Linked DNA regions of Lepisosteus oculatus. The protein of the gene in region 1 purifies or fractionates together with the protein of each later gene. This does not show direct contact. Links are inferred from orthologs where the notes say so. Each region holds a gene or a part of one and is shown on either strand. Other genes may lie near its edges.

Evidence for each region.
Region 2: the proteins of llgl1 (region 1) and pard6b purify together in Homo sapiens (affinity purification with mass spectrometry; 5 studies listed by BioGRID and IntAct, counting the BioPlex papers as one, with this or other methods). This does not show direct contact. The link is inferred for Lepisosteus oculatus from reciprocal best matches to the Homo sapiens genes LLGL1 and PARD6B.

Annotation. Positions count from the first base shown.
Region 1 is NC_090714.1:11,060,987-11,070,470, reverse strand, and holds the start of llgl1 (lethal(2) giant larvae protein homolog 1), read left to right. Parts: upstream 1-5,074; 5' UTR 5,075-5,669; coding exon 5,670-5,750; intron 5,751-9,484. UniProt on the Homo sapiens protein: Cortical cytoskeleton protein found in a complex involved in maintaining cell polarity and epithelial integrity. Involved in the regulation of mitotic spindle orientation, proliferation, differentiation and tissue organization of neuroepithelial cells.
Region 2 is NC_090711.1:9,497,234-9,507,244, reverse strand, and holds the start of pard6b (partitioning defective 6 homolog beta), read right to left. Parts: upstream 4,377-10,011; 5' UTR 4,047-4,376; coding exon 3,984-4,046; intron 1-3,983. Other genes in the region: brefeldin A-inhibited guanine nucleotide-exchange protein 2, read left to right, coding at 8,192-8,324. UniProt on the Homo sapiens protein: Adapter protein involved in asymmetrical cell division and cell polarization processes. Probably involved in formation of epithelial tight junctions.

The DNA.
Region 1 (9,484 bases):
GCCTATTGATCAGCTGTTGTCTTCGCATAAAGAGATGCACCATAATATTATGCTTTTTATATCATTAAAAAGGATTTACCAAATTTCCCTATTATAGTTTTTGTTTTTTGTTAAATGACAATTATTCATTTTATTTTTTTCATTCCAGGTGCATTTGCATGATGTTAAGTTTAAATCCATTTTAAAAATACTTAATCCATTAATGGCATTATTTTGAAAATGATTACACCTCAGTTATATTTTTCTATTATTGCATAGACATATAGATCTGTCAATGTATTTGCCGACATCAACAGTGAGATTTCTGTAGAAAATCCATTTCCTTATGAAAGTGAATTAATTTTCCCTCACAAAAAATAGTAAATTCTGTTTATATTAGGAATTGTTTTAATGCAGAAATTCCACAGTGGAGATTAATATACAGTATGCAGTCACAGGTTAAATGCAATCATAATTTTAGCTTTCACCAGAATGTACGAAGAAGTTATTGTGTATGGGACTTTTATGTACAGCTGTCTCCCTGTGTGGAGTATGCGATCTTACAACAAAATGTATTTTTGCTGAAGAGCATTTTGATATAATATAACAGGCACACATGATTAGCAATCCAGGGAAATATTGGTCTTTTTCTTTACAAATAGTTCAATAAGCAAAGTGAGTTTTATATAAGGGTTGTATTCATAAGTGTAATAAGTTTTGTTTGAATTAAAGCAGAAAGACGCTTTTGATTTTGGTTTGGTTTTGTTAAATCAGCATATCTTATAATATTGATCTGGTCATAATCTCATCAAAGGTAGGATAAGTGCTTCTCATTAATAAATTTAAAAGCAGGGCAATTGTGAAGTGAAATGAGTGATATTCTATGTACATGCAAGTGAAAAATATTTTTGAAATGTCTCAAATTAACCTGTCCAAGTATCAGCAGCTAAAGAGACGCCACTCACCTGATTCTAGCAGCACTGCGTCTTCACAGCTCTCGAGTCCTGGACTTCTCTGAATGGAGGCATTTTCTATGTGGAGTTTGCATGTTTTTATTCTTTTTGTTGGGGGGAGTCCAAGCACTCAGCGTATCCCTTCACCTTCCAAGGACATACTGGCTCGGATAAGATGTTCAACTCAGGCGCTGACAATTTTTGATTCAAGATGTCAAGGCACTGTTTGTATTGGGTTCAATTTTGAGTCCAAGCACAGAAAAGTGACGTGACTGCTCAGGAATCAATCAGGAAAGAGCAACCCGGTCCGTTCCCGGGCTCAAAGGAATATGTCACTCTGGCGGGCTGAGACACGGCTGACCAGTCCTATTCGTGCAGGGCCAAGGTGTTGGCACATTTTTCATCCCAGCTGAAATCTAATTGACCTTCCTTGGCTTGTGATTGACTTTAATAGGCCATTTCACCCACCTTTCCCACTGTTCAGATGCTACTGTTTCAAAGGAACCTAAAAGACCTGTAGACCCACCAGTCCTCCAGCACAAGTGTTGGACAGCTCTTGGATGAAAGACTTGAGAAGACGACAAGGGGGCCTGATGCAAGTGTTCAAAATCTTCAAAGGTATTTGTCAAATCTACAGATGTCCTCGGAATCCACAGTTATCCAGAGGACACAATCGGAAAGTATAGGGAACAGAGGGTAGGTGCAGGTGATGAGAAACAGCTTTGGTCAACCACACTAGGAAGAGGGCCTTCCCCATGTGTTCAAAAAGCCCTCCCTTAAAAGCTGTGATCCAAGTATTCATAATCCTCCAAGGCGCCTGCTTAAACGTCTTCAGAATCACCAGTGAAACATCAGTAGAGAGTAGTTTATTGTCGTATGTACACATATATTAGAATTAATCGCGCTGATCTCTCGGGACATACACAGTACAAAATAATCCCTTACACTTATATAGCGTTTTTCTGGACACTCCACTCAAAGCGCTTTACAGGTAATGGGGACTCCCCTCCACACCACCAGTGTGTAGCCCCCACCTGGATGATGCGACGGCAGCCATAGTGCGCCAGAACGCTCCCCACACATCGGCTATCAGTGGGGAGGAGAACAGAGTGATGAGGCCAGTTCATAGATGGGGATTATTAGGAGGCCATGATTGGAAAAGGCCAATGGGAAATTTGGCCAGGGCGCCAGGGTTAACACCTTTACTCTTTTCGAGAAACACCCTGGGATTTTTAATGACCACGGAGAGTCAGGACCTCGGTTTTTACGTCTCATCCGAACGACGGCGCCTTTTCTTTACAGTATAGTGTCCCCGTCACTATACTGGGGCATAACTGAATTAGCTCAATTCAGTTGACGTCGTTTCTGACTTCAATGCCGTCCTGCCCATGCTGTAATACCCCCTTGAACACAGTGAACACCGGGAATAAAATGGTTTTCTAATGACTTAAGGATAAAGGCTTGATCATTTATACAGCAAATTATCCCGTCGACTGTTTTGAGAATGAACTTTGAATTTTTTTATTTCCATGTTAATCTTGAAAGAAAATACAAGATCTTGTTTCGAAGCGATTTCACATTAAATCGTGTGGTTATTTACATTAAAGACTTTCTAAGGGCAGAAGTCTCGAGCTCGGAACTTTTAACCTCAGGGCGCCAACAGCAATCGGCCTTCTTTTTAAAATATTTATTATTTTTGCCACAAGGGGGCGTCAGACGTTAAAACAATGTTAAGGAACGAAGTCTTAACTCCCAGGACGGCGGAGTTGTGTTCTGAGTAGTTTACCATTATCAATGATTAACCCTTGAGAAAAAACTCAGATTTAGAAACTGGGCGGGAAAGGCGTGTTAAGCATTTACTCCCAACAAGCCTTTCTTCTGCTTCACATTTTATGAAACATTTTTATATGGACTGGGTGTGGTGAATGGGACCCGTATTAACAGCCCAGTCGTAAGCGAATTCTGCAGTTGCAAAAAGGGAGGGGATTTCATGGGTCTGAAAGAAACACATTTATTTTTTCCCCACGCTGAAGAAGTGTGCTTCACAGTCCAGCACGAATTTCCGTGAGAGTCGTGAGGTGTTGGAATGAGACCAGACAAAAACGTACTGCATTTGAGATACATTGGGAGGGAGGGTGACTGCAGAGGCTGTTGTACTCTCGGGTTCTGGTTAATGTCTCCGCTTCAGGTCAAGCCGTGGAGTGTGAGCGAGAAAGAGCATCGCCAGACCCCGGGAAACGCCGATCAGAAGTCGAGCAATCAGAGAGTCTGCGCCCCCGGCCAGCGGACGCCAGGCGCACGGTTCAGCCGCAGCCGTGAAGAACTGCCACTTCTTCTCGTTTCAGTTTTTTTCTCTTCCAGCTCTCGGGCATTTCACCTTCGATGGGGGTGAAACGCTGCTGATTAGCCTTCGTGCAGCTGATTGATAGGAATGCGTACTCCCCGAATAGCTCGGGTCTGGAATAGTTCCTCTGGCTTCCCGGCCTTGGCTGTGATCCAAGCCTGCCTAGTGTCAAGTTCATGTGAGCAGCGCTCTGCGTAAACAGACTGTCCCTCTCCACCCCGCCCCTCCAGACCTGCCAACCTGAAGAGCAGAAACAGATGAAAACGGGGCTTTACTGGAGAGGGATGCTGTGAATGATGGGACTTACTCAGCATGTATCTCTGCGATTTTTCAAATTCACGCTCATTTGTAAAATATATTGCAGATACCCCCCTATTGGACATAAAACGTTACGGTGTGGGCTGTGCTGTAAATTCAATGAAATCAGCTTTAACACATCTTCTCCTCCCGCCTTGGGAATGAAAAAAAAAACACACACACATTCTCATTGCCAAGACGTCTGAACGTGATGACGTTTTCGGAAAGCAAAAAAGAAAAACCGCAGCCGAGCCTAACGTGATCAATAAAGAATGCCGCCGCAGTCTCTTGCCTCTCTGACGGTTGACGCGTTTTGAAATTGCAGCAGACCAGGCGTGCATTTTGACGTGAAAATGCGTTCGTAGTTGATTGGTTTTCACAGAAGACAAATCCGCGTGAAGTATCCCAGATGCACAAGATTAACTTGTAGAAAAGGGGTTTAAGATTCATGCCCTGCTTATATTCAATTTACAATAAAAAGGTATTTGGCAAAGCCGTCATGCACACACAGTACAGCAGGTTTGGGTCGGTGTCATTACTGCTGTGTATAGGTGCTTTATTAAAATCCCACAAACCTTCAGTTCATAGTAAATTGAACATCAATAGAATATCAATGAAACCTAAACACGCTCGTCTAAGCTCAGCTTCCTGTACTACGCGCTGACTGCGCTGGGGGTGTTTTCTGACAGCTCAGCGTTACTCATTACAGGAAAACAACCGCTTCTCGCTGCCAAAAGACTCATCCTGCAGCGTGAGATTGACGAGGCCGAGGAAGGTGCTGACTGGCTCTCCTTCCTGTCTGGAGCAGAGCTGCAGTGGTTTGTATGTGTCCACAATATTAACTTGTGTGACACCCCCCCGCCTCTCTCCAGTCGCTGCTGAATCGCACAGCAGGCTGCTCTCACCTGCTCGGGGGAACGCCGCCTACAGACCTCAGCATTTTCAGCAACTGAGATCTGGTCTTCATCTTCCGTGTTCAATTGTAATTAATACTTATAAGAACTGTGTTCTGTCGTGTGCTACAGGGCCCTTTTTCCCCCCAATTAAACACAGCCTTGAGCTGGATGTTTTCAGCTTTAAAAAGAACAGTTTGCTCGGTGTGTGTGGCGCATTGCAATGGTTCAGCTGTGTTGTAAAAAGCACCGATGCGCGCAGCAAGGAAAACCCCAGAAAATGTTACACGTGTTAGAAGCGCGCTACCTTTAAGAAGAAAATTAATAACGCTATTTTAATTGTAAAACGAGGGGTAAATGCCAAAATACCGCAGTTCCCTCACAGCACAGCTGTAAAACCGCCTTCCTCGGTAACCCCTCTCCTTTTGCAGAGGTGCGGTTGGAATGCGTGAGCGCCGCAGCCTGTTATGTGTCTAAGGGGGCTTCAACTTCTTCCTCGCCCATCCCTCAGCCGCGCACACACACACACACCGTGGAGGGAACCCCCTCCCCATCGCAGAGGGGTTTTCCCTCTGCGGACTCACGATCACTGCAGAAACGTGGCGCATCACACTATTCCGTGATGCTGCGGTGAGTGCAATAGCGTGTTTCTCTACAGTCGGAGCAGTGTCGCCACACACACCTCTGCGCGACCGAAGCACTGAAGGAACCCATTCCGCATCAGCGCAACGCTCGTCGTCCTGCTATCGTTATTGCTTCGTTACAAAAGCAAAGCTGTGGCAATTCTCTTGTACGCACTGAGCTGGGCACCCGTGACCCACATTGGTGAAGCAACGCAACTGTAAAAGCAAACTGAGGAGAGCAGCGGGGACGAAACTACAAATCCCAGATGCTGGAACAATATCCTCACACGGTTCAGTCTCCTGTAATCAACCACTACGGACCTGCCCACTAGCATCTCCTCTCTGATTGGATCCCGGTAGATAAACTCCCCGATCCAATTGGCTGTAGCAGTTGCCAATCTGGACGGAAATGTATCCAGTTCCCCGGTATCCAGTTGCAGCCTTTGAGAACAGACTACAAAGAAACGGGAGCTTGTCTATGGGATCTCATTGTTTTGCACTGATACAAACCTGAGAAGGAATTTACAATTTGGTTTTTTTTCTCCCCTTGGCTCTCACTAATTTTCCCACCGGCTTCAGGATGATGAAGTTTAGGTTCAGGAGACAGGGGAATGATCCCCAAAGAGAGAAAATCAAACAGGACCTTTTTGCTTTTAATAAGGTAACGTTGAAACATTTGGGAAAGACGTCCGTTTCTTTCTGGTGGCAAGCATGCCGACTCGTATTGTATCAGTGAACTGTATTGAGAGTTAAAAGGGGGGGGCATTTTTAGTTTTAATGCACGCTTCAAATGTGAGGAGACGTTCATACAATCTGCATTTATCTTATTTTTAAGCACCCGTGTAAAGGTAGGGCATAGCTGGGAAAAATTGCAGTCTAACGGTCCCGCTAATCTGAGAACAAATCTCTGCATCTGCGTACGGCTAGGGGATTCGTGTGTTGTTGTCTGTCGCCTTCCTAGTTTGTGAAAGTCATGGAAAATGTGTCATCTCTGGAGTTTGACCAGTGCTGGGGGTTTAATGTGTGCTTCTAAATCGATTAGTTTCCTCGTGCTGCAGAACATGGTTTAACAATAATTGAAGTGCTGCAGTTTCTTAGGAGTTAGACACGCCGATGGACGCGGAGAGAAGTTGCATTTCCTCATATATTTTTACAAATCTGTGTTTCTTCCTTCAGTTCACCCCTTCATGTTTATTACCATTGATATTAAGACCAGTCGTCAAAACCCGTTACTCTAATAAGGCACTTTATCGGTCTATTGAGAAAAATCGGTCTATCCTGATTCGCTCTCGGTTTGTACTTTGCGTTTCTCTAGCATTTTTAACTACATTTTAATTCCTTCGAAATGCTTCTATAACAAATTTTGGTCTCTCGTCCAACCTACCAGCTGGCTAATATATACCGTATATATGAGTAGGTGTAGTTTATTTCGCCTTGTTTATTTGCATCATGTAGCGAAGTAGCTCGGTGTTTTAAAACGCGTGCTCCAGCACATTCATAACTGTTCCATTCACATTCATGTCCAAATTAACTGTTGTTCTCGCCTGAATGGATTTACAGTGGGAAAACGGACAATAACCGCATACACTGTCCTTTACGGAGGAGTTAAAACATCGTTTAATGACACGCACCTAAAGTGCAGGGAATATACCATTAGTATGAGTCATTTTATAGTGTGATGGCTCTGATGGGGCACTATGTGGTAAATTTAAATCGAGAAAAAAATGCAAACAATTTACGAGTTTCTGCGTATTTTGTGTATCTCAAACCCCAGTAAGCAACCAGTTTAGGGGTGCATTGCCCACAAAACACGTCTCTACCAGCTCGCGCAGTTTGTTCTGTGAGGAGGTGTATTTGGGATAATCGTACAAGTTTCTGTCAAATGTATGAAATGCCTAAAGGGGGGGTATTGTTCCTCTTTTTGAGAGTGTTGCAGGCACTTCTTTTTCTTATAAATCAACTGATTCCCAGCGCTAGTGTTTTCATCCCTTATAGCGTTTGATCGAGATAATTTTATTAAATTAAACTAGTTGTGACCAGGGCAACATGGTGGTATATTGGTTTAAGATTGTAATTCGTAAGGGGGGAAAGAGACGGTCTTTAAAAAAACAATATGGGACGTGCTCATCATGTTGAACGTTTAAGAGAACTGTTTATTTCTGGGGGAAGGCAGTTTCCGTGTGCTTTTATGTGGGAGTGGGAGTTCAATGCACTATTGCATTTTTCCTTAAACAAATAGCGTGTACTCCCACCGGTAACAATTCTAAACCTGTGCTTTGATGTGACAAATGGTTGGTAATGTGTTTGAAAACCTTCGTCTTTCCACAGGGAGTAAATGCAACCAACAAAACGTGCGTTTTGTGCTACTGTTGTTGGTTTGCCTGTGCTACAATGCAGTTGGAGTGCTTATCAATTCTTTTGATGTTCTGTTTGTCATATATCGTGTGCCCTTGCCGTATTTATGACAATATTGAAGTTGTTTTGTGTTAAAAACCTTTAGGATTCTTTAAGACAAAGGGCCATGTTTAAGTTAAAACCCTGTTAAAAAAATTGCTTCAATATTTTAAAAAGTTATTGCAGGCAGCTTCGCATTACCCACTGCGCTATGTAAACATTGTATTCGGTTCACACAAGTACCTCACGTGATTTTTTTAAAGAGAGAGAGTGATGAATGGAGTGTTACAGGAGCAGGAAGTATAGTTTCTTGTTGAGCAAAACCACAGATCTTGGCAAGTGGAACTTTTGCGGACTGCATTTCTGTGGGATCCTCTTTCTGCTGTTGATGGGGGGAGAGTTTGTCTTCCAACTTTCTATAGATACCCCTCCACTGGGAGGTTGGGGGGCTTGACTGAGGGAGGAGAAATGTGTCCATGAGCCCTTAGTACTTCATTGCACAATGTGAGCTGTGACACATTGCTGTCTCCTTCTGATGGATGACTAAGGGTCCTGTGAGGTGATGTCAGCTGTTTGTTGTCATGTTTGTGCTTCTCTGGGAAAAGGCACAGCTTTTCCTCTATGAATGCATGTTCAAGAACATCCCTTTTCTCCTTCTGACTGGCAATAACATTGGTTAGGCAATGGGTTTGGCATTCATTTTCAATCCAAGTCTGATGCATTTGAAATTTGGAGATGCATCTAGGAAGACTGGAGAAGGGGTGGAATCTCGAGATAGAGGAGCTGCCCGATTTCTGAATCCGAAGGTAAATCAGGGCCCTGTTGTGCCACAGGTGACCCTAGGAATAGGGTAACATCCCTTTCTGCGTGGAATAAAAGATCCCTTGAACAGCATCGATCCGTCTCTTCTCCAGCAGCAGAGAGAAAGCACAGAGCCACATGAAATACAACCAGTCCAAAGGGCACAGTGGTTTTACTGATGAGTTCTGCTCTGCTGATGTTAATGAAGTCCTCCATCAATATTTAATTGTAGCATTTAAAAATGTCACATAGGGTAATCCATCGTCAGACTGCACAGGGGTTTAATCCATCAGGGAGGTGCTTATTCTGCTGGTGCCGCGAAACAGGGCTCACTGGCTGGGTCTGTGAGAGGCGCCCCATTATTGGAGCCCGGTTGTCCCCTAACTGTAAAAAGCAGTGGTGATTGTGGAAGGTCGCGGCATTAACGAGTGGTAAGGATTTTTTTTTACTGGACAGCTTTAGTCTAATTTCGTGAGCAGACTGTCAGTCATTCAGTGCTGTGTAAAAGTGAAACTCTGGATGCACTTGCTTCTTAGATTAACTGCACTTTGAGTGGATTGTCGGAAGATTATGATACATTGATCGTGGCTTGGTGCTGCCTTCAAACTGGTGGATGTTTCAGTGCTTTGAATGAATATATACATTTATTTAATCTAAGAGAGGGTAACTTCATTATTAAAAGGGAAATTGCTTTTTTTTTAAAAAAGGAACGCAGGGATGGCTTGATTTCTTATTAATCCAGAATCAAAATTCAGTCAACCTTTCCAGGCTGGATATATTTGAAAAGGAGGCTTATACTTTTCCACTTGCTTGAATATACTGCTGCCCGATAACATTGTTTAAAATCGGGCTCTACTGCCTTCGGAAACACAACATTGCTCCCAATGCTGGTTTTTCAATTATGTTTCTTTGAAAGCTGAGCTAGTTTTGAATGTTGTACCAGACCACATTGAAACGCGTTTTGCTTGCTTTGCTTATCGTATATAAGAATGCAAGAGAGGTTACTAACGAGAGGGGGTCCATCTCGTCTTTTTGTTAATTAGTAGTTAATCTCCGGGTCTCATCCAGCTGTTTCTTGAAAGAACAAGGGTATCCACACCTTGACTGGTTCCTACAGTACTTTTACAACCCTTTGCATCAAGAAATGTTCCCCATTTGAAATTTGCTTCCATGTAGTTTCCATCTGTGCTCTCTCTTGTC
Region 2 (10,011 bases), on another chromosome or scaffold:
TTTCTCACTACATACTGTATATTGCTACAAATTACAAGTTATTATCAATTAAAAACACAAAAAACTAAAGACAAAATAAACACTGATAAATATAAGGTTATGCAAAGACTATGAAAAGGTTAAATTAATACAATGAAGAGTATCATCATACTATATTTAACAGAAAACCAGTTTCAAAACACCCCTTGACGACCGTCTTTTAGCTAACTTTTTTTCCAAGACAGAATGGCTCTTTTTTGCAAAAGCTACTGTAGCTTAGGACTTCATATGATTTAAATGCCTGCCATCTGAAAGAAATTGGGGATTTTTTCCATAGTAAAATAGCAAACATACGATTCCACAAAAACACTACTTAGTGATTTCAAACTACAAAGATGACTCACTATTACAAGTTTATTCAAACGGTATTATTTAAAAGTTTCAGTGATGTCAAAAGTTGCATTGTCATCAAATGCTTCCACAAAGATTGATGAATGATGGCTGAACGCTGTTAAAAGAATAAGTGCTGCACTAGATTAGAGCACAACACAGCAGGGCAAAAACAATTAAACTGGCAGACTGTATACATCGGTATGACATATTGAATTCAAATCAAACAGTCATTGGGTTAAACTGCAATGCAATGGGAAGTTAGTTGTTTAAACGAAGTACTTGATTTAAACAAATGATTCAATTTTGGTTTAAACTAAATCAATGTACAGTTTTGAGAACTGACAGTGATCAATTGAAACAAACCAAGAACAGACTGATGGACTGACTCAACCTCAGCATCACTACATCACCTAACAACACTTTCTTTGCATTCTTAAATTCAGCTTTGGATTAGTTAGCAATGTGCTACAGTTCTTTAACTGATCGGCTTGCTTCTTTAGACATTTATTCCCTTGCTTCCGCACTGCAGGTGACTAAACAGTCACTAATAAGTGAACCCTTACGAGGAGCAGGTGGGGATGACAATGTATCAAAACCATCCTAAAACAAGTGGGTTTTTTTCCCTTCTGCAGAAGTCCTCCAGGTTACATTTCAAACGCTCCTCAAGGAGTACATTTCGGAGTCTTACAGACTATACCAAGCATAAACTAGGCACAAACACAAGAACCCGTCAGGAGCAAAACACAATAGACCGCTCACCTATAATTTGGTTATTAGCCCTCTCTTCAGATAGAGAGGGCTTGTTGACTGCTAAGCCAGGCAGGGTGTGTTCATGACAAAAACCTTAATTCTGCTGAGCAAATAAATGCTTTCCTGTTAAGATTAGAGCCACACTTTCATTGAACTTTCTGTGCCAATAATAATAATACATTACAATGTGCTGAACTAAGTAATAACCGTTCTCATAAATTCAGAAAACAACACACCTAATATGCAGATGTTAATTTCTGGGCAAAGAACTGACCCTCCCCAGCATGGCAACATTCTAACTTTTCTGGCTTCCATTATACTTTTTGACAATTTCATCATCAAGGTTTCATCAACAGAATGGCCAGCGGGCCAGTCATCTGTTCAAGATATACATAATCAAAGATTACACCAAAACCCAAAAAGATCTCCGTTACCATCCTACTATATTCCGTTGCACCATAAACTTTTGGACTGTGATTTATTCAAGTCGTGCCCAAGTTCAAGTTCATATGTAATGACCAACGAACTTTAAGGCACTGTGTGATAAGACTGTGCTTCTTCTTCACAAACGAATCTGATCAAATTTGTACTTCCTATAGAAAGGTCCAGGGAAGGCATGTAAAGCACAATACCAATGCAAACAGAACTTCCTATGTTAGACATTCATTATTGGGTGAATAAGCTCTTGAACCAAATACTGCAACGTCAAGCTTCTTATCAGATCTATGAAAAACCCTCAGGATATGTATTGCCACTGGATAATATTATGACAGTAATATGGGAATGACATCTAATGTTTGTTTCATTTTTTACACAAAACCAACGTGATCTTTTCTTCTGTTAAGCAAATCTTACAGTTACATATTGAAGTGCTATGAAACGAAACTGAAACAAAAGAAAAACGGGAAAAAAAGAGTTTTCAGTTTTCTATAAAATGCTTTGGAACAAAAAAAAGTGAACCAAAATGGTCCAATGATACTTTCAAATAGATAAGTTAATTTACCATATTTCTGACCAAATTGTTTTTACTGTTAAGTAGCATTTTTATTTCTGGAAGTGTTTCAGACAGCATTGAGGGTAGAGGTTGGTTTTGGGCTGAGGTCGGGTAAGCGTCTGAAAAACCACAACGCGTGGAGTAAAACAAGCATCACAGTTGTGTTTAAAAACCCAATATATAGAGAGAGTGTGCTCAGATTAATGTCTGTTTAAAATTTGCGATGGGCTTTTTTGGGTGGTTCTGACCCTTGTTAGGTGTAATATTAAATTCAATCTCACCCAAGAATTTATGATGGGCCCAACCTGCAACTCAAGACATAAGTAATGAGACTTGTTACTTGGAAAGAACTAACAGCAACACAAACAAAATCCTACAACTAACAAATTACAAACAGCTGCTGAACCCTGAACAACATTAGACAAGGAACAAGTAATAGGTTTATTCCATGCTGAAAAAAAGAAGAAAGAGAACACAACGTTTCGGCCGTGGAGCCTTCTTCAGGTGTTGGACATAAGGAGGGACGGGATAAAAATAAGAATTCTACACCACTGTTACAGGTGTGTTTTAAATCCTTTAAGATAATAAAATACATTTAAGAGAGCATGATGTGCAGTTAGTTTCTCATGGCCCTACTCCATATGTGTGACATGCAGCAATAAGACACATTGTACCTCAGTACAATAAATCAAGGTACCTGTACAAATTCACCGCTATCTTTTCAAGAAGACTGTTTAAAACAGAAACATTATTTTAATGGCTCAGAAACCGAGCCTTAAAAAAAAGAGTGTGAAACTTTGTCACTTTTACATTTTCACATTCTGTTTCCATCTCACACCGTACGCGCCAGGGCCCGGCCATGTATGAGTGGTGATCATGAAGTTTACAGCGACAATAACCGTAGCAACATGTTCTTTAAAGCGCACACCGTGTCAGGACAGCGATTTAATCTGAACTGTGACACAGTGCTACCGAACTCCCTTTCCATTGCGTGGGGCAAAAACAAACAAAAAGAGCCCGATAAAAAAAAAGTGTTTCTTCAACGGCTTTAAGGAGTGTGGTGTCGAGGGAGGTGGAAAGTTTCACAGCTGTTTTGGGAACGTCCTGTGAAGTGCGTCTTTGTCCGATATTGCTCGATTTAAGAATGAAAGAAGATTAAGAGCAGGCTAAGAGACTCCCCCCCATGAAAAGATACATCGGAGACCTAAAACCTGCAGGACAGCGTCGGCTCAAATGAGTGCAGAAGCGCTCAAGTTCAAAGAACAGAAAATCCGAGTTCCCCCGCGTTCCCCGCAAACGAAACGTTTTACAAACTAAGCCCTTTGGCTGGAAGTATCGTAAAAACGCAGCGCCAGGTGACATTATCGATGATCAAGCATCGGGTGTCTTTAAACTAGGCGACGCTTCAACTACAACAGACCCTTCGGGGCGACCCTCGTCTCTTGTAATTCACAGCTGCCAGCCAAGGCGACTGGGTTTGTTGTTGTTTTGTTGCTGGAAGTCGAAGGTCGATTTCCACGACCCGATCAGGTTGTTTTTTTTTTTTAATTACCCGCCGCTGCCGTCGCCGGCTGTGTTACTAGTTACGGGTCCTGCGAGCCCACGCCGGCCGGTCACTCTCCACGGCCGTCACCCACGGAAAACAGCCCGGGCAGGCTCGGTTCGACCCGGGAATGCCGCAACACGCAGGTTTGAAGTGGCCCGATGCCCTGCTCTCCGGGGAGCGGGGATCCGGGACAACTTTTAAATACCTAACACAAGAGACCGACGGTGCGCCGTCACCCACGGAAGCAGCCCGGGCAGGCTCGGTTCGACCCGGGAATGCCGCAACACGCAGGTCTGGAGTGGCCCGTTGAGCCGTACGCACCTTGCTCTTCACCTCCACGGCGCTCAGAGTCCGGCTGCTCGGCACTCGGTGATTTTTATTCATCTTTTCTCGCCAGGACACCCTGTTATTTGTCAGTCTCGCCCTCCCCAGGGCTACTGCCCCCGCTGGTCCGGCTCACTCCTCTGTTTTGTATCCGCGGGAGAGTGGGTCCGCTGTAATCCAGGTATTGCAATGTAACCAGCCCACCCCCACGCACACACGCGCGTCTTGTGCCAGTTTCGGTATTTTCTCGCAACGTCTCCCTCTCCTGCAAGCTCGCTCTGGTCGCCTCCGCCTGACAACAACCTGCTTTCAAACTCTCTCTCTCGCTCACACGCACACTCGCAGCGCCTCGGCGGTGACGCAATCCGCACCCAGGAAACGGCTCCAGGGCAGCCTCGTTTCGGCGACGCGCGCTCCCGTCGGTACAATGCTGCGCGCTTCTGCCTCTCAGGTCCGCGGCGGTCGCCTTGCGCGCACTCGTTCCTTTCCGGGGAGCGCTGTCCCGCACGCGTCTGTTCTGTACATGCAAATAACTCTATAAAGCACATGATGCTTTAAAACTCCAGCAGAAGAGGACGGCCGGCTGTAACAGACACCCTCTTACTGGATTTTGTTGTCTGTTCAAAGTTGAAAACACATTTAATAACATTATTTCACTTTTTAAAAGGAAGATGTTTATTATTATTTCAGCACACAAGCAAATTGTTTTCACAACATATCCAAACTGGCTGTTACTTCCTTCTGACATTTTCATTTTAACAGTGGAAACAAGCAACAACTGTAAACAATGTCTTGGAAACAAGCGTCGTGCAAATACAGCAGCTGCGTCCCCCGTTTACAATATCTGTGAAAATATTTTCGAATTGTTTTCTATCATATTGTACACAATACCATATTTTAATATGTATAGTTATTAAATAAATATCAATGTGTTTGCAAATACCCTCCAGATCTGATTTAAAGGAAAAACATATAAGGAACAATATACGTGTGGAAATATGTAAGGATATAAACCACAGGAATGCAGGAATTTCCACGTATCCCTTTTAATGTTGTGCAGCAGTCGTGCACACTCTGTAATGTGAGATACATCGCTCCTATTTTCTGTTATTTTCCGAATGGATCAGTATTTCATGACTATGGGAAATCGGCCAGGATAAAACGCTGTAACAGTTTGTGAACACAAGTCAAAGCAGGTTTAATTTATGCCGATATACGTTGCTTTGTTTCAAGAAGAAAGCAAGAGGGGCTCTTGTTACTGTACAATTGTCAATTGCCCATTTTAAATTCTTGCATGTAACTCATCTGTGTCCCTGTATAAGTCACTCTCCTCTCCTCGGGAGATATTAGGCGGCATTTTCTTTTAGCCCAGTGCCACCCGATAAAAATCAACACGTGGTTTCACACATCACACCCCATCGTGTTGATTTTGGTCGCTCCTTGGGTTGTCATGACTGTGTAAAAGAAAAAGACAGTACATTGAGCAGGTTGAGAAGAGTATAACTGAAAGGCCTTGCTGCCCATTTCATTATTAGATAGCTTCCATGTCTTCAAAAATATTACGGCGGGGTTGTTCCTGGGGTCCTGGCGCCTGAATGACGTGTGTGCCCTATTTTCTGCGATTCTTTATTAATCTGTTTGATTCACTCAGTCGGGATAGACTTTGACAGTACTTTTTAAGACCACGGGTATCCGAATCAAATTGCCACATTATAAATTATTTTCCAGACCAATGGGGCTTTATTATTTATGTCGTGTTTACGTCTCTAGCCCCAGTACCAGATTCCTTTCTTAAGTTGCAAAGTTCCGTTCAGAACTGAGTACCACACAGTGTTCTCAGTAAGACACAGAACTTTTGCCATTTTCCAGTACTCCACAGTTCCACGACGTCTGCTGATTATAGTCACGGGACGAAAAACCTACAGTACGTAAGAAACACTAGCAAGTACACCTAGCAAGCCCCATCATTATTACTCTTAATGCCAGAAAATGCTGGGAAAAGAGTATTAAATGGTCACAGACATGCCAAACGTTTGAAGTAGGAAATATATATATATAGTATATTGTATTATGTTGGGGGGAAACTTTCCTAAGCACAACCCCTGCATAAAAGGTGGAAGCTGCACATTGGTGGTGGAGGGGAGTCCCCATTACCTGTAAAGCGCTTTGAGTGGAGTGTCCAGAAAAAGCGCTATATAACTGTAAGCAAGTATTATTATTATTATTATTATTATTATTATTATTATTATTATTATTATTATTATTATTAAAATCGTGCAAGGAACCGAGTTCAAAACAGCGCCCCGTTGACTTGCTGTTTTCTTCTCTTTCAATACCGAGGGGACACGCGTCTTGGTAGCAGTATTTAGGGGTATCTGGGAATGACCGAGTACTTGAAATAAAACGCGAAAACTAAAGAAATTTAGTTAGGTTGTCTGTTTAATTTTACCGCCATCCTCTGGATCTTATCTGAAACTACCACCCCTTGTCACACCAAACCCTAATCAATCCAGAGTAGAGAGGTCATTTGAATTTTATGGATTTATTGTCTTGATTTGTGCGCCTGAGATGACCTCAGCCTGGCAGTAAGGACGAGAGAGGATGCCAGAGCCTCCCAGTTTTATGAGGGTTAGGCCAGGGGTGCCGCTTCTCGGGTGATACTGGGGCGGAGGACGCAGTGCGCGCTTATAAGGAGAGAGAGGAGGTGTTCACGAATCGGGATATTTCCACGGAGGTGAACGGAAATGGGCGAGCCTGGTGATCCCGAACCTTCGTTTGGAACTTCATTAATCCCAGATCGCCTAAAGATTTCGAGTTCAAAAGAATGTCCCGCACTGACACGCTAAACGTTATTGTAATCACGGGTTAGTAGAAATCTATAAATGGGTATAGATGTGTAGACATTTTACTGTACAATAATACAGTTCAATGTTTCGCTTTACTATAATACATTTTATTCACTTCCTGCTATAATATGGAAATTTCTCATCCAGAAGACTAAAAACGTGATCTGACCAAGGTATTAAAATCATAAAAAGTTAAGGTGCTCAGTGGAATTGTTCAGAAGAAATAATAAAACGCGAACCGGATGCCACAAGTAGAAACCTAAGTGAAAGTGCATTTAAAGATAAGAACAGGAGACCCTTCTTTACACGAAGGGTGGTAGGAGTTTGTAACAAGGTGCCCTGGCGTGTAGGTGAAGGCACAACATTGGCTCCTTTCAAGAAATAGGTGGATGAGGTAATGGGATCAATTATTACCGAACGGGATAGAGGGTCTGATGTCTTCTCGTTCATAACTTTTATGTAGATTGTGCGCGAGTCGATGATTCGTAGGCAGGGAGGAAAACTCTGACTTTGACAGATTAGATTCTTGTGACGTTTGTTGTAGTTGTGTAGGCTGAGGTAGCACTATTTTCCAGGAAAAATACTTCATTCTCTGTCATGATGACAATGATGCACAGCTCCAATGACGTCATTCGTGATCACATTTTGTTAAGAAAATGACACTCCTATGTAGTTTGTGCATGATAATGGAGTGCACCTGTGTCCGAATTGCGATATGACGTATCCCATTACATTTATAAATCATACATCTTCATTCGCTTTTCCTGATGTTTTCAAACGAACCCGATAATATCGTAGAAGTCGGATTTAAAATGCAGAACAATAAATGCTCGACTTCTGTATTGCACTCGCACACATCAGACCCGTAATTTTAATAAATAACACATAATTGTAGTACATCTTAATTATATAGTTTCAATGATACGGAAACTATTTATTGAACCACAAGTACTCATTTTAAATGACAGAACTACACTTGACCACAAGACTCCTTAACATTGTCCCCGTCAGTGACAGTAACGTCATTTAGGGAGGTTTATCTTCTAAGTCCGAGAGCAATCTTTAAGCAAATAACAAGGATTTCAGTGGCAACACGGAGATATTGCTGAAAGGTCCCAAAAGTGCAGCGTGTAACCTACCCCATGCAAATTCACATTAACTGAGCTGGAGCTCCCGGCCGCTCTACGTCAATGGAAGCAGCTGAGAGTCACGTGACGAGATGTTGCCAACATGGCGGCGCAGTGCTGAGGTAGCAGCTCCGTACACCTTCACTCTCCTTGTGGAGTTTTAATTCATGCCGTTTAACCGTCTCGGAGCGTGGGATTCCGTTGGCAATGGCGATCTGAAGCACGGAAAGCAATGCAACAGAAGGAGGAAAGCAGCAAAACCAAGAGCATGTTTTTGTCCCGGGCTTTAGAGAAAATCCTGTCCGATAAGGAGGTGAAGCGAGCTCAGCACAGTCAGCTAAGGAAAGCCTGTCAGGTAGCACTAGGTAAATAACCATTAAGTTTATGAGTTTGTTTTATTTTTTTCTAATGCTTCTGAGCCATAACCGGTCTTGAATGAAGGTGTTAATAAAGATTTTCACATGGGGAGCGCATCCTGTGTGCTAAAGAAAGGGGTAAAAGCCGAGGGCCTATCCGGTTGTGGGTAGCTAAACTGCATCCAATTTTAAGAAGACTCGTTTTAAAGGACTGGAATCTTTTCAGATGAGCATCTGATGAAAGCTTGATTATGACTTGAAATCAAAACGTGTTTACATCGATACTTACACTTAGTGTCTTTGTAATAAACTCTATTAAAACGAGAGTTTACAACTCTCCTGAACGAAACTGACAGCGAATAGATTATTTAAGGAGTTTAGTTGACTCGTATAAGATGACGAGTTAAAATGGGGTTGGTTATTCAGCAATCGCCGTGTCTCGAGTGGCCATTTCATTTGTTGGATCTCCGGTGGCAGGCAGGTAACCGATTCTTCAGCCGTGAACTGTATCCGAGTCATTAATTCTTTATGGCGCTGGTGAAACGTGGCGCTTCCTATTATTAACCGAAGGGATGGCGTGTTTATGACAATCGTGTAGGCGGAAAATTACGTTGCAGTCCGTGCATTCCTGTAAACACAACCTACTGAATGAACTTATCCGCTGGGGCCTCGAACACGGTGTATTGGGAGTTAAGGTGTTTGGAATTCCAGTTTCACATCACAGCACATCAGTGACTCCACTTCCTTCTCCGTAGGAGGCGAGGCCGACTCTCACAGTACAGGTGTACTCGCTCAAAAGGTGAGACGAGGCAGTACTGTGATTGACAGCTGAGCTTTGAGCTTCTTCTGCAGTCCCGAGAGACTTTTACACGCCTCCTCCAGCAATCTGCACACGAGCACGGATGCTAACCGTCATGTATTCCCTTCCCAGGAAATTTGATCTTTTATATGTTGTTACATTAAAAGAAAAAAAACAGACGACAGCTTTCGTGCTGTTACCCATTGCTCTGTGTTTACATCTACGCGTTTGTAGTAGACATCGTGTAGGTTTTGTATCTGGCATTTAACCCAGTGAAATTACGCGGAAACAAACCATTGATTCGCAGCTATTTCGAAAATATGATGCGTAATACTTCTTAAAAATGAGAGCGAATTGTGGTCTGTAAATATCAAGGCATGGTTTTTGCTTCATTCTTTTTTTATTACTAAGATCTTGGAATTCTTGCGTGTTTTCTGGTCACCCGTCTTTGCTGCTTTACTAGAACTTCAACCAGTTGTGTAGCTTTCGGATCTTAAAAGCTTGATGTCAGTTCTCACATTAGATGCCTCCAAATTACATTGGCGACTAAGCTGCAATGGAGACCTGTCGTGCTCAAATTTAATTTTTTGATGTCAGCAAAGTGCAAAGTCTGAAAATTAACAAAATCCGCTGTTGCGTGAATCACCCCTGAATAGATTCCCGATAGAAACGCAAAAAGTAGTTTAATGTGAATTGTCCAGATTAATGCAGCTTGAAAGCAAAGTTTTCTTTGGTACTTGATGTAGATTGATTTTGTCTCACAAAGAAAAATTTAATGGAAAGAAGAATCATATTTCTAAATTATTACCATTTTTGGAAATCAGGAGCTAGGAGCTAAACATGTATAAGAATCATTGGTCATTTCATGGTTTTGCTATAGAAGCCTTCTTCATTCGT